Linked DNA regions of Drosophila melanogaster. The protein of the gene in region 1 interacts with the protein of each later gene in a pairwise test. Each region holds a gene or a part of one and is shown on either strand. Other genes may lie near its edges.

What was found.
Region 2: the proteins of Cyp6d5 (region 1) and Pka-C2 interact in a two-hybrid assay, tested with the Drosophila melanogaster proteins (one large-scale study listed by BioGRID).

What each region holds. Positions count from the first base shown.
Region 1 is NT_033777.3:14,027,483-14,032,121, forward strand, and holds Cyp6d5 (cytochrome P450 6d5), read left to right. Parts: upstream 1-1,745; 5' UTR 1,746-1,801; coding exon 1,802-2,331; intron 2,332-2,649; coding exon 2,650-2,802; intron 2,803-2,871; coding exon 2,872-3,302; intron 3,303-3,393; coding exon 3,394-3,642; intron 3,643-3,780; coding exon 3,781-3,944; 3' UTR 3,945-4,001; downstream 4,002-4,639. UniProt on the Drosophila melanogaster protein: May be involved in the metabolism of insect hormones and in the breakdown of synthetic insecticides.
Region 2 is NT_033777.3:30,694,970-30,698,986, reverse strand, and holds Pka-C2 (protein kinase, cAMP-dependent, catalytic subunit 2), read left to right. Parts: upstream 1-1,848; 5' UTR 1,849-2,018; coding exon 2,019-2,195; intron 2,196-2,252; coding exon 2,253-2,482; intron 2,483-2,562; coding exon 2,563-2,728; intron 2,729-2,782; coding exon 2,783-3,060; intron 3,061-3,122; coding exon 3,123-3,336; 3' UTR 3,337-3,450; downstream 3,451-4,017. Other genes in the region: CG12069 (uncharacterized protein), read left to right, coding at 3,606-4,017.

The DNA.
Region 1 (4,639 bases):
AGAGCAACAACAAATTACTTTGACAGCACAAAGTTCTCAAGTGAACAACCTGAACATCGAAGAGCGACTACCATAAACGTCAAAGTCAACAAAGCGGGTCAAAACAGGCGGTAAAGACAAGCGGAAAGTTTTTGGGGCGGAGAGAGTTTGGCTATTTGTAGGGATACAATATGTGCAAGTCACAGGTTCTTCAGAGCATTGGGTATAGCCCCTGGGCCTAGGTCAATCCGATTCGGAACACCCAGCAAACTATATCACATTGCCACAGCGCCTGATAAGGAAACCAGTTATCTGCTTCATTTAAATTGAGTACATCTTTCAAGTATTTGAATGTGATTAAAACCAGTCTTTAAGCAACATTTATAAATAGAAACTAATTTTGATATGAATTATAAAACAATCAATAGACATGATTAACATGAAGTTACTGAAGATCTGGTACCTTGTGCAGTTTGTTATAATGTGCAGTTTCCAATCTAACTACTAATTTATCTACTAATATAAATTTTTCAGGGACTGCAAATACCCAGTTCTTGCAATCCTGAAAATATCATAATAATCTATCTTTTAGGTAGCCACCTTTATTTCGAGAAATTTTACATTTCTATCTACCTGTAGTATGGCAAAAATAACAACCCAACTGCTAGAAAATGCATCGTTAAGAAACCATCACAATATACATTTCTAAAATTATCTGAAAGATAAAATACTGCGTATTTTCCAGCACAGGAAAGGTAGATGTAAAGATCGTCATTGCAAACGTGTAATCAAATTTAAATTTCATACCGACTTATGTATATACTATCTGCAGTTTTAAAAACTAGTTTATATCCATCGAGTATATATGTATCTCCTTTAATTAATCAGAAATGGTACAACAAAATCAATTTGGAGATCCCAGATAAATTATAAACCCTTACTATGAAGATATGTTATAAGTTATTCCATACATACATACGTTATTAACCTGTTTTCGCGGTTTATAAATAGTTGCCTAATTGTTAGTGCTGTATAAGTTTATAATGATTATATGTATACAAAAAACTAGTTATACATATTTACTAATGCGGATATGAATACAATGTTCCTTTACATATGTGAAAAATCGACTGATTAAAACAAAACCAAATCGGCAAAAGGGGTTCCACATAAAAATAACACCATTACTACGACTAAGTGTTATAAATTTTTACGTATACACATCATTAGCAATCTTCTCGGGAATTAAAATAGTTGTATAACCGTTGAGATGAATAAGAGTTATGTGTATGTGTAAGTGATTGGCACAAGTGACATTATAAATTCCTTAGATGTAGTCAGTGTAGATCAATGCATGTAAAGTTCCTCAATTCCGATACGCCATCAAGAATATATGTATAGAAAGAAAAGTACTCCATCATTATCTCGAAACGATTTGCCGTATCGCCAGCGCAACGTTGGCTAGATGGGTCAAAAGAAAATGCTACCTACCAATATAATAACGATTTGTCGGCACTTTTTTGCCGCCCGCTGAGAACTAGAAACTTGTCGTGTCACACTGAGAAAGCATTGTACGATAATCTCATTGCGAGGAATCCTCCAGCCAACAGCAAACATATATACTGATCGAGCTACACTATAAGGGAATCGCTCGACTCGAGTGGATTTGTTTACGCCCGAGCCCAAAGATACGGTAATCACCCCAGCGATATGGCGAAATTGTTTGCCAACCTAACGACTATAAATCGGCAGTGGACTACGACTAGTCAGTTGCGTTGTAGACCGCTAGAAGTGCGGACATAGTAAACAGTATAGATTCAATATGATCGGAATATATTTGCTGATCGCTGCAGTCACGCTGCTATATGTCTATCTCAAGTGGACATTTAGCTACTGGGATCGCAAGGGATTCCCATCGACGGGAGTGAGCATACCGTTCGGTGCCCTGGAATCCGTGACAAAGGGAAAGCGATCCTTCGGTATGGCCATATACGATATGTACAAGTCGACAAAGGAACCGGTGATCGGTTTGTATCTCACATTGAGACCGGCACTTCTCGTCCGAGATGCCCAACTGGCCCACGATGTGTTGGTCAAGGATTTTGCCAGTTTTCACGATCGTGGCGTGTATGTGGATGAAAAGAACGATCCCATGTCCGCGAGTTTGTTCCAAATGGAAGGAGCCAGCTGGCGGGCCTTGCGCAACAAGCTGACGCCCTCATTCACATCCGGCAAACTGAAGGCCATGTTCGAGACCTCAGATTCGGTTGGAGACAAGTTGGTGGACAGCATTAGGAAGCAACTGCCTGCGAACGGCGCCAAGGAGCTGGAACTCAAGAAGCTAATGGCTACGTAAGTTGAAGCGATTAGATTAGCAAATATCAATTGCGTTGCAATAATGTAGCTAATTATTTGAGTTTTACAAATACTAAACTTATTTTTTGAACAACCAATTCACAGTTTCAGACTGCGATGCGATTATAAATCATGTCATTTCATCCGAACTGAGAACTTGCAATAGTTTTGCTGTCTTATGAAAAAAATGAACATACTAAACTAATGTAACGTAACGCATTCGAAATTTATGGCCGTTGTTAATTGTATTTAAACAGATACCCCTTATCTGATAAACAAACTAATGAAGTGTACTTCATTTATTTCTTTTGTTAGATACGCCATCGACATTATTGCCACGACTATTTTTGGACTGGATGTTGATAGCTTTGCGGATCCCAACAACGAATTCCAGATTATTAGCAAAAAAGTGAATCGTAACAACATTGAAGATATTATTCGTGGAACATCTAGTTTCCTGTATCCCGGGTAAGTTGAAGGTGGACTTTATAGACTTTATAATTAAACATAAAACCTATATCTTTCAACCATTTGCAGGCTGGAGAAATTCTTTGTGAAAATCGGCTGGAAACAGGAGGCCACCGAAAGAATGCGCGAGTTGTCCAATCGAACCGTCGATCTCAGGGAACAGAACAATATAGTTCGCAAGGATCTGCTGCAACTTCTGCTGCAGCTGCGGAATCAGGGAAAGATCAATACCGATGACAATATTTGGTCGGCGGAAAGCACTAAGAATGGTGTTAAGTCCATGTCCAAGGACTTGATTGCCGGCCAGCTATTCCTCTTCTATGTTGCCGGTTATGAGACGACAGCTTCTACAACATCCTTTACCCTATACGAGCTAACCCAAAATCCTGAAGTGATGGAAAAGGCTAAGGAGGATGTTCGCAGTGCCATCGAAAAGCATGGCGGAAAGCTGACATACGACGCCATCTCGGACATGAAGTATCTGGAGGCGTGTATACTCGGTAAGTTTTGATGGGAATATATGGCAGTTCTTTCATATATATTTTCCATATTTTTTTTATAAATGGTTTAATATTGTATACTTTCTAACAGAGACTGCTCGCAAATATCCCGCTCTGCCACTGCTGAATAGAATCTGCACCAAGGACTATCCTGTGCCCGATAGCAAACTTGTGATCCAAAAGGGTACTCCCATCATAATCTCCCTCATCGGAATGCACCGCGATGAGGAGTACTTCCCCGATCCGCTTGCCTACAAACCGGAACGGTATCTGGAGAATGGTAAAGACTACACCCAGGCGGCCTATTTGCCATTCGGCGAGGGACCCAGGATGTGTATCGGTAAGAAGAAAGGTTCCACATGAACAGGGTGAAATGGGAGTTTGAATACTTCAGATAAGTAATACTCAAATCCACTATATCCCACCGATCTCTTTCCAATTGCCCATGGAAACTAAGAAATTTCCGTCTATTTTCCAGGCGCCCGCATGGGAAAGGTGAATGTGAAGATAGCGATTGCCAAGGTTTTGTCGAACTTCGATCTGGAGATCCGGAAGGAAAAGTGTGAGATTGAGTTCGGCGTGTATGGAATACCGCTGATGCCCAAATCAGGTGTTCCCGTGCGTCTGTCTCTCAAAAAGTAGCTCCTAGTCTTGTAATTAAACCATGTAAACCGTATAATAAACGTGCAATTTGTAATGAAAATATGGACAAACATATCAATTGGATGCACTTCTCCCTCACACAGTTACACGCACACACACAAACACAGGCACACGGGCGTACGCACCTTTGTAAATGTAAATAGTTTCTCGTTCTCCGCTTTACATAAGTCGCCCTATTTACTCGAAATTGGGGGGATTCTGAGTAAACTTTGGCTCAGCGAATATTTATTCGCATATGATCTGAATCTCCATATGGCCGGGAAATGCACTTTTTCCAGCTATGACAACACAATATGGCCGAAAAAATACTCTTTCACTTTTTCCAGGCCAAGTTGTGTGAACTGCGCCACACACACGCACATACACACACACACGAGAGCGCACGCACTGGGGACACGCACACTGTCGCACTCGCGGCGATGACGTTTTCGGCCGCAATGCACCTAATTAACGGATATTTTTGCATCTAATTCGATTGCACTCGTTCGGCGGCGACCCTTGGCTATTAGTTTGCAAATTTCCAAGTAAATACGACGAATTTGGCGAATCAGCGAATCACTCGCTTCCCATGCTGCGGCACACACTCACACGCTACCACCCACACGAACGCATACATATGTTTGTCGCCGGCGGTCCGGCAACGCTGCGGCAATGCAACTCTGCCTGGCCACTTG
Region 2 (4,017 bases), about 17 Mb from region 1:
TTCGCCGGGACTAGGAAGTTACTACATTGTTGCTGCCCGGTGAACTGTGAGCCAAATTGAATGCCAAATGCTGAAAACCGAATGCCGAATGCATTTTCCGGCCAGAGAGTGCAGAGCGTGCCTTGATTTATTCCCGATTGTGCGGAGATTAGCGCTAATGGCTGAGGCCAGTCCTCCGGCAGCTGCTTTTCCGGCGGATCGGCGGTTGGGGTGTGGAATCTAAGGGAAAACTGAAACCTTTCAGCATAATTGAATCTGGCCATATATGTACGAGTAGAGCCGGGACATTCACCTACTTAAGCCCAAAAAATGGCCTCTGATAACTAAGCCAAATATTAGCCAGGCCGCCAAAGACAAATGCCATGTGTGTCAACAGTTCATCGAGGCGTCAATTACTTTGCATAGCGCCGGGCAAAAGTCCTGGCAATCGGGGGATTGAGTCCTTCAAGACAACAAATGAATTTTAAGTGTGGCTACGGCCATAGCGGCCAAAAGAAACGGCCAAGAAACGTGTGCGTACGACTTAATCTGCTCTTGGCCCGCTTAGCACACATATATTCCGAGGATATGGAGGATTCTAGGCCTTCCAGATATTATCCGCTTATTTATGGCCGTCGTTAACATATCTTAGCCAACTGAAGTTTATCTGGCGGCTGGGCTCTAAGTTAAATGAGCCAGGATTTCAAACGGAATTTGTACCGAACACACACATTGGCTAAGTGAAATTGTTTAGTTTTTGCACGCCTCCCGTTTCGAGTGCAAGTGAAAGTTTTCAAGTACGTGACGATTTGTTTTATTTTAAGCGAATTAAAAGCTTGGTCCAACAAATATTTGTGCCTGTATAGCTAAGTAGATGAGTCAGAGTCCCCCACCTCAAAACAAAAACCCCTTTTGCCAGCCAATCAATAATGAAGTTCTCCGCTCCTCGAGAATTAATGCCAGGGCATTAGGCCAGACCGAAGGCATATTTAGAAACCCATTTTCACATGGTTCGAGCTCGAACTCGAGAGGACACTCAACCAGGGCTGACCCAATCTGCCAATCTGAATGCCGACCCGGCCGAAAGATAATGATTAATTGTCAATTTAGGTGGCACAATGACAACAGACTGGCCCGAAATGGCCAATAAACGGTTCGGTCGACAGTTACCTTAAAAGCCTGCAACAATTCCGGCATCCGGTTCGTAAGCCTACCACTGTCCCATCTCATGGAGGCCCACTCACATGTCCATCAACATGAAGATGCGGTCTGGAGTTACCAACTTGACTGGCCTGACATGTGGAAATAAATGTACTAGAAAATTACCAACTTATGTAATCTTGGTTAGCATCATTTATCAAGCGGACGTTTTGCAATTTTTCTTACTTTTGCGGCCAGGAGGCAGACGGAAAACAGGACGAGAGGTCCAGACTCCAGGACATGTCGAGAAGTCGGACTCAGAAGCACATGTGTGTGGACTCAGTCACAGTCGCAGGAAATTGCCATTTCTCAGCAGTCGTCCTGGGAGGAGATGGAGGTAAATTTGTCATACCTTGGAGAAGGGCTCAGTCGGCTAATTGAAAGGATCGTTCCTTGACTTTAGGCATTCCTGGAACTTCAGATTCATGAAGTTCACTTTACCTGAAGCTAAACTGCTAAATTGCTGGGATACGATTTATGAAGTAGTTTACTTAAAATAGACAAACAAATTAGAAACTACAAATGGAGAATCCTTAGAATGTGACCAGTAATGGATCAATCAAGAATGAAAGATGGCTCAAATATAGGGTGTTGAAAATGCAGTCATGGTTGTGACACCCATGTCCTCCACAGCGTGGACTTTGCATTGTGGCTTTGACTCAGCCGTCACCGATTATCTGATTAATGAGTAAAATTACTGAAATCCAAATTTCTAGTGTATCAAGCGCCGATTACCGAATAGATTTGCCACTCAAAATCGTTTCGCTAGTCCAGCTTTGCAACGGAAGGCACTCGCAAAGGCGCCGTAAGATGCGCGATTGGCCGGATGTTATGCTGTTATGAGCCAGCACACTTCGCAGTACGTTTTCAACTCCAAGGAAGACTACAACGTAATCCTAGACAACATGAGTCGCGAGTTCGAAGAGCGGTGGAATCACCAGACCCAGTCGCCCTACACCAATCTGGAAAACTATATAACCCGGGCCGTCCTCGGCAACGGAAGTTTCGGCACTGTGGTGAGTTAAAGGGTATTTCTTAGATGTGCTACACCTTCGAAATATAATAATCTTCAGATGCTGGTCAGGGAGAAGAGTGGCAAGAACTACTATGCCGCCAAGATGATGAGCAAGGAGGATCTGGTGCGGCTGAAGCAGGTGGCCCACGTACACAACGAGAAGCACGTCCTGAACGCCGCCCGATTCCCGTTCCTCATCTACCTGGTGGACTCGACCAAGTGCTTCGACTATCTCTACCTAATCCTCCCGCTGGTCAATGGAGGAGAGCTGTTCAGTTACCATCGCAGGTGAGTATTCCCTTTCTGGAGTGCTCATTTCATCTGATCACAGACTGGGTTCCAACGGGTTTCCCCCCCCCATAAAAAAGAGTTCGCAAGTTCAACGAGAAGCACGCCAGATTCTATGCCGCCCAGGTGGCACTTGCTCTTGAGTATATGCACAAGATGCACCTCATGTACCGTGATCTGAAGCCGGAGAACATTCTGCTCGATCAGCGCGGCTATATCAAAATAACGGACTTCGGTTTCACTAAGGTGGGGAAAAGACTTCACATAATTCCCATTGCTTTCATCCTCAAATAATCACAGCGTGTGGATGGCCGCACATCAACGCTGTGTGGAACCCCGGAATACTTGGCCCCGGAGATTGTTCAACTCCGGCCCTACAACAAATCGGTGGACTGGTGGGCCTTTGGTATCCTAGTGTACGAGTTTGTGGCAGGGCGGTCTCCCTTTGCCATTCACAATCGAGATGTAATCCTGATGTACTCCAAGATCTGCATATGCGACTACAAGATGCCCTCATACTTTACGTCCCAGCTGAGGAGCCTTGTCGAGAGCCTCATGCAGGTGGACACCTCAAAGCGGTGAGTGGAGTGGGAGTGGGTCAAGGTGCTTCCAATGCAGTGCTCATGCCACCCCTTCTCAGTTTAGGAAACTCGAACGACGGCTCCAGCGACGTGAAGAGTCATCCGTGGTTCCAGGGCGTAGATTGGTTTGGCATTCTCAACCAGGAAGTCACCGCCCCCTACCAGCCCACCATTTCCGGCGCCGAAGATCTGTCGAACTTCGAGAACTTCGAGTTCAAGGATCGGTACAAGTCCCGAATAAACCGCCATCCCGAATTGTTTGCGAATTTTTAAATGTCAATGTGTCCTTCGAAATCGTCGTTTTCTTTAGTGTTTGCTTAATTTCAAGGGGTGCTATCGTGATTGGATTTTGTAAAAGTAGTTTTCGCAATACAGCTCTCTTATTACATTCATAAATGGTCTTTTGATAAATAAATAGCAGCCCTGGAGCGTCAGGTCATTTTCAATCCGAGCTTTCGTAATGCTTTAGACAAAAATTCGAAATTCTGGTATAGTTAATTGACGCGATCACTCAGAACTCTAATACGCGAGTTGTTGTCGCAATGGGTCCCCAGCCGGAGCAAGCGCAGATGCACTTCAGTCCCAAGGTGGACTACATTCTCATCCTGGACAAGTTGCGCGAGGACTTCAACAAGAAGTTCGCCACCAACACGCCGTCGCCTAGTACGGGTCTGGATGACTACGAGATTAAGGCGACCCTCGGATCCGGATCCTTCGGCAAGGTGCAGTTGGTGAGGGAGCGCGAGTCCGGCGTCTATTACGCCTCCAAGCAGCTCAGCAAGGATCAGATCGTGAAGACTAAACAGGTGAGCCACGTGATGAGCGAGAAAAACGTGCTGCGTTCGATGACGTTCCCGAACACGGTCAACCTGATAGCCTCCTACAAGGACTTCGACAGCCTTTACCTCGTCCTGCCCCTAATTGGTGGCGGAGAGCTCTTCACCTACCACCGAA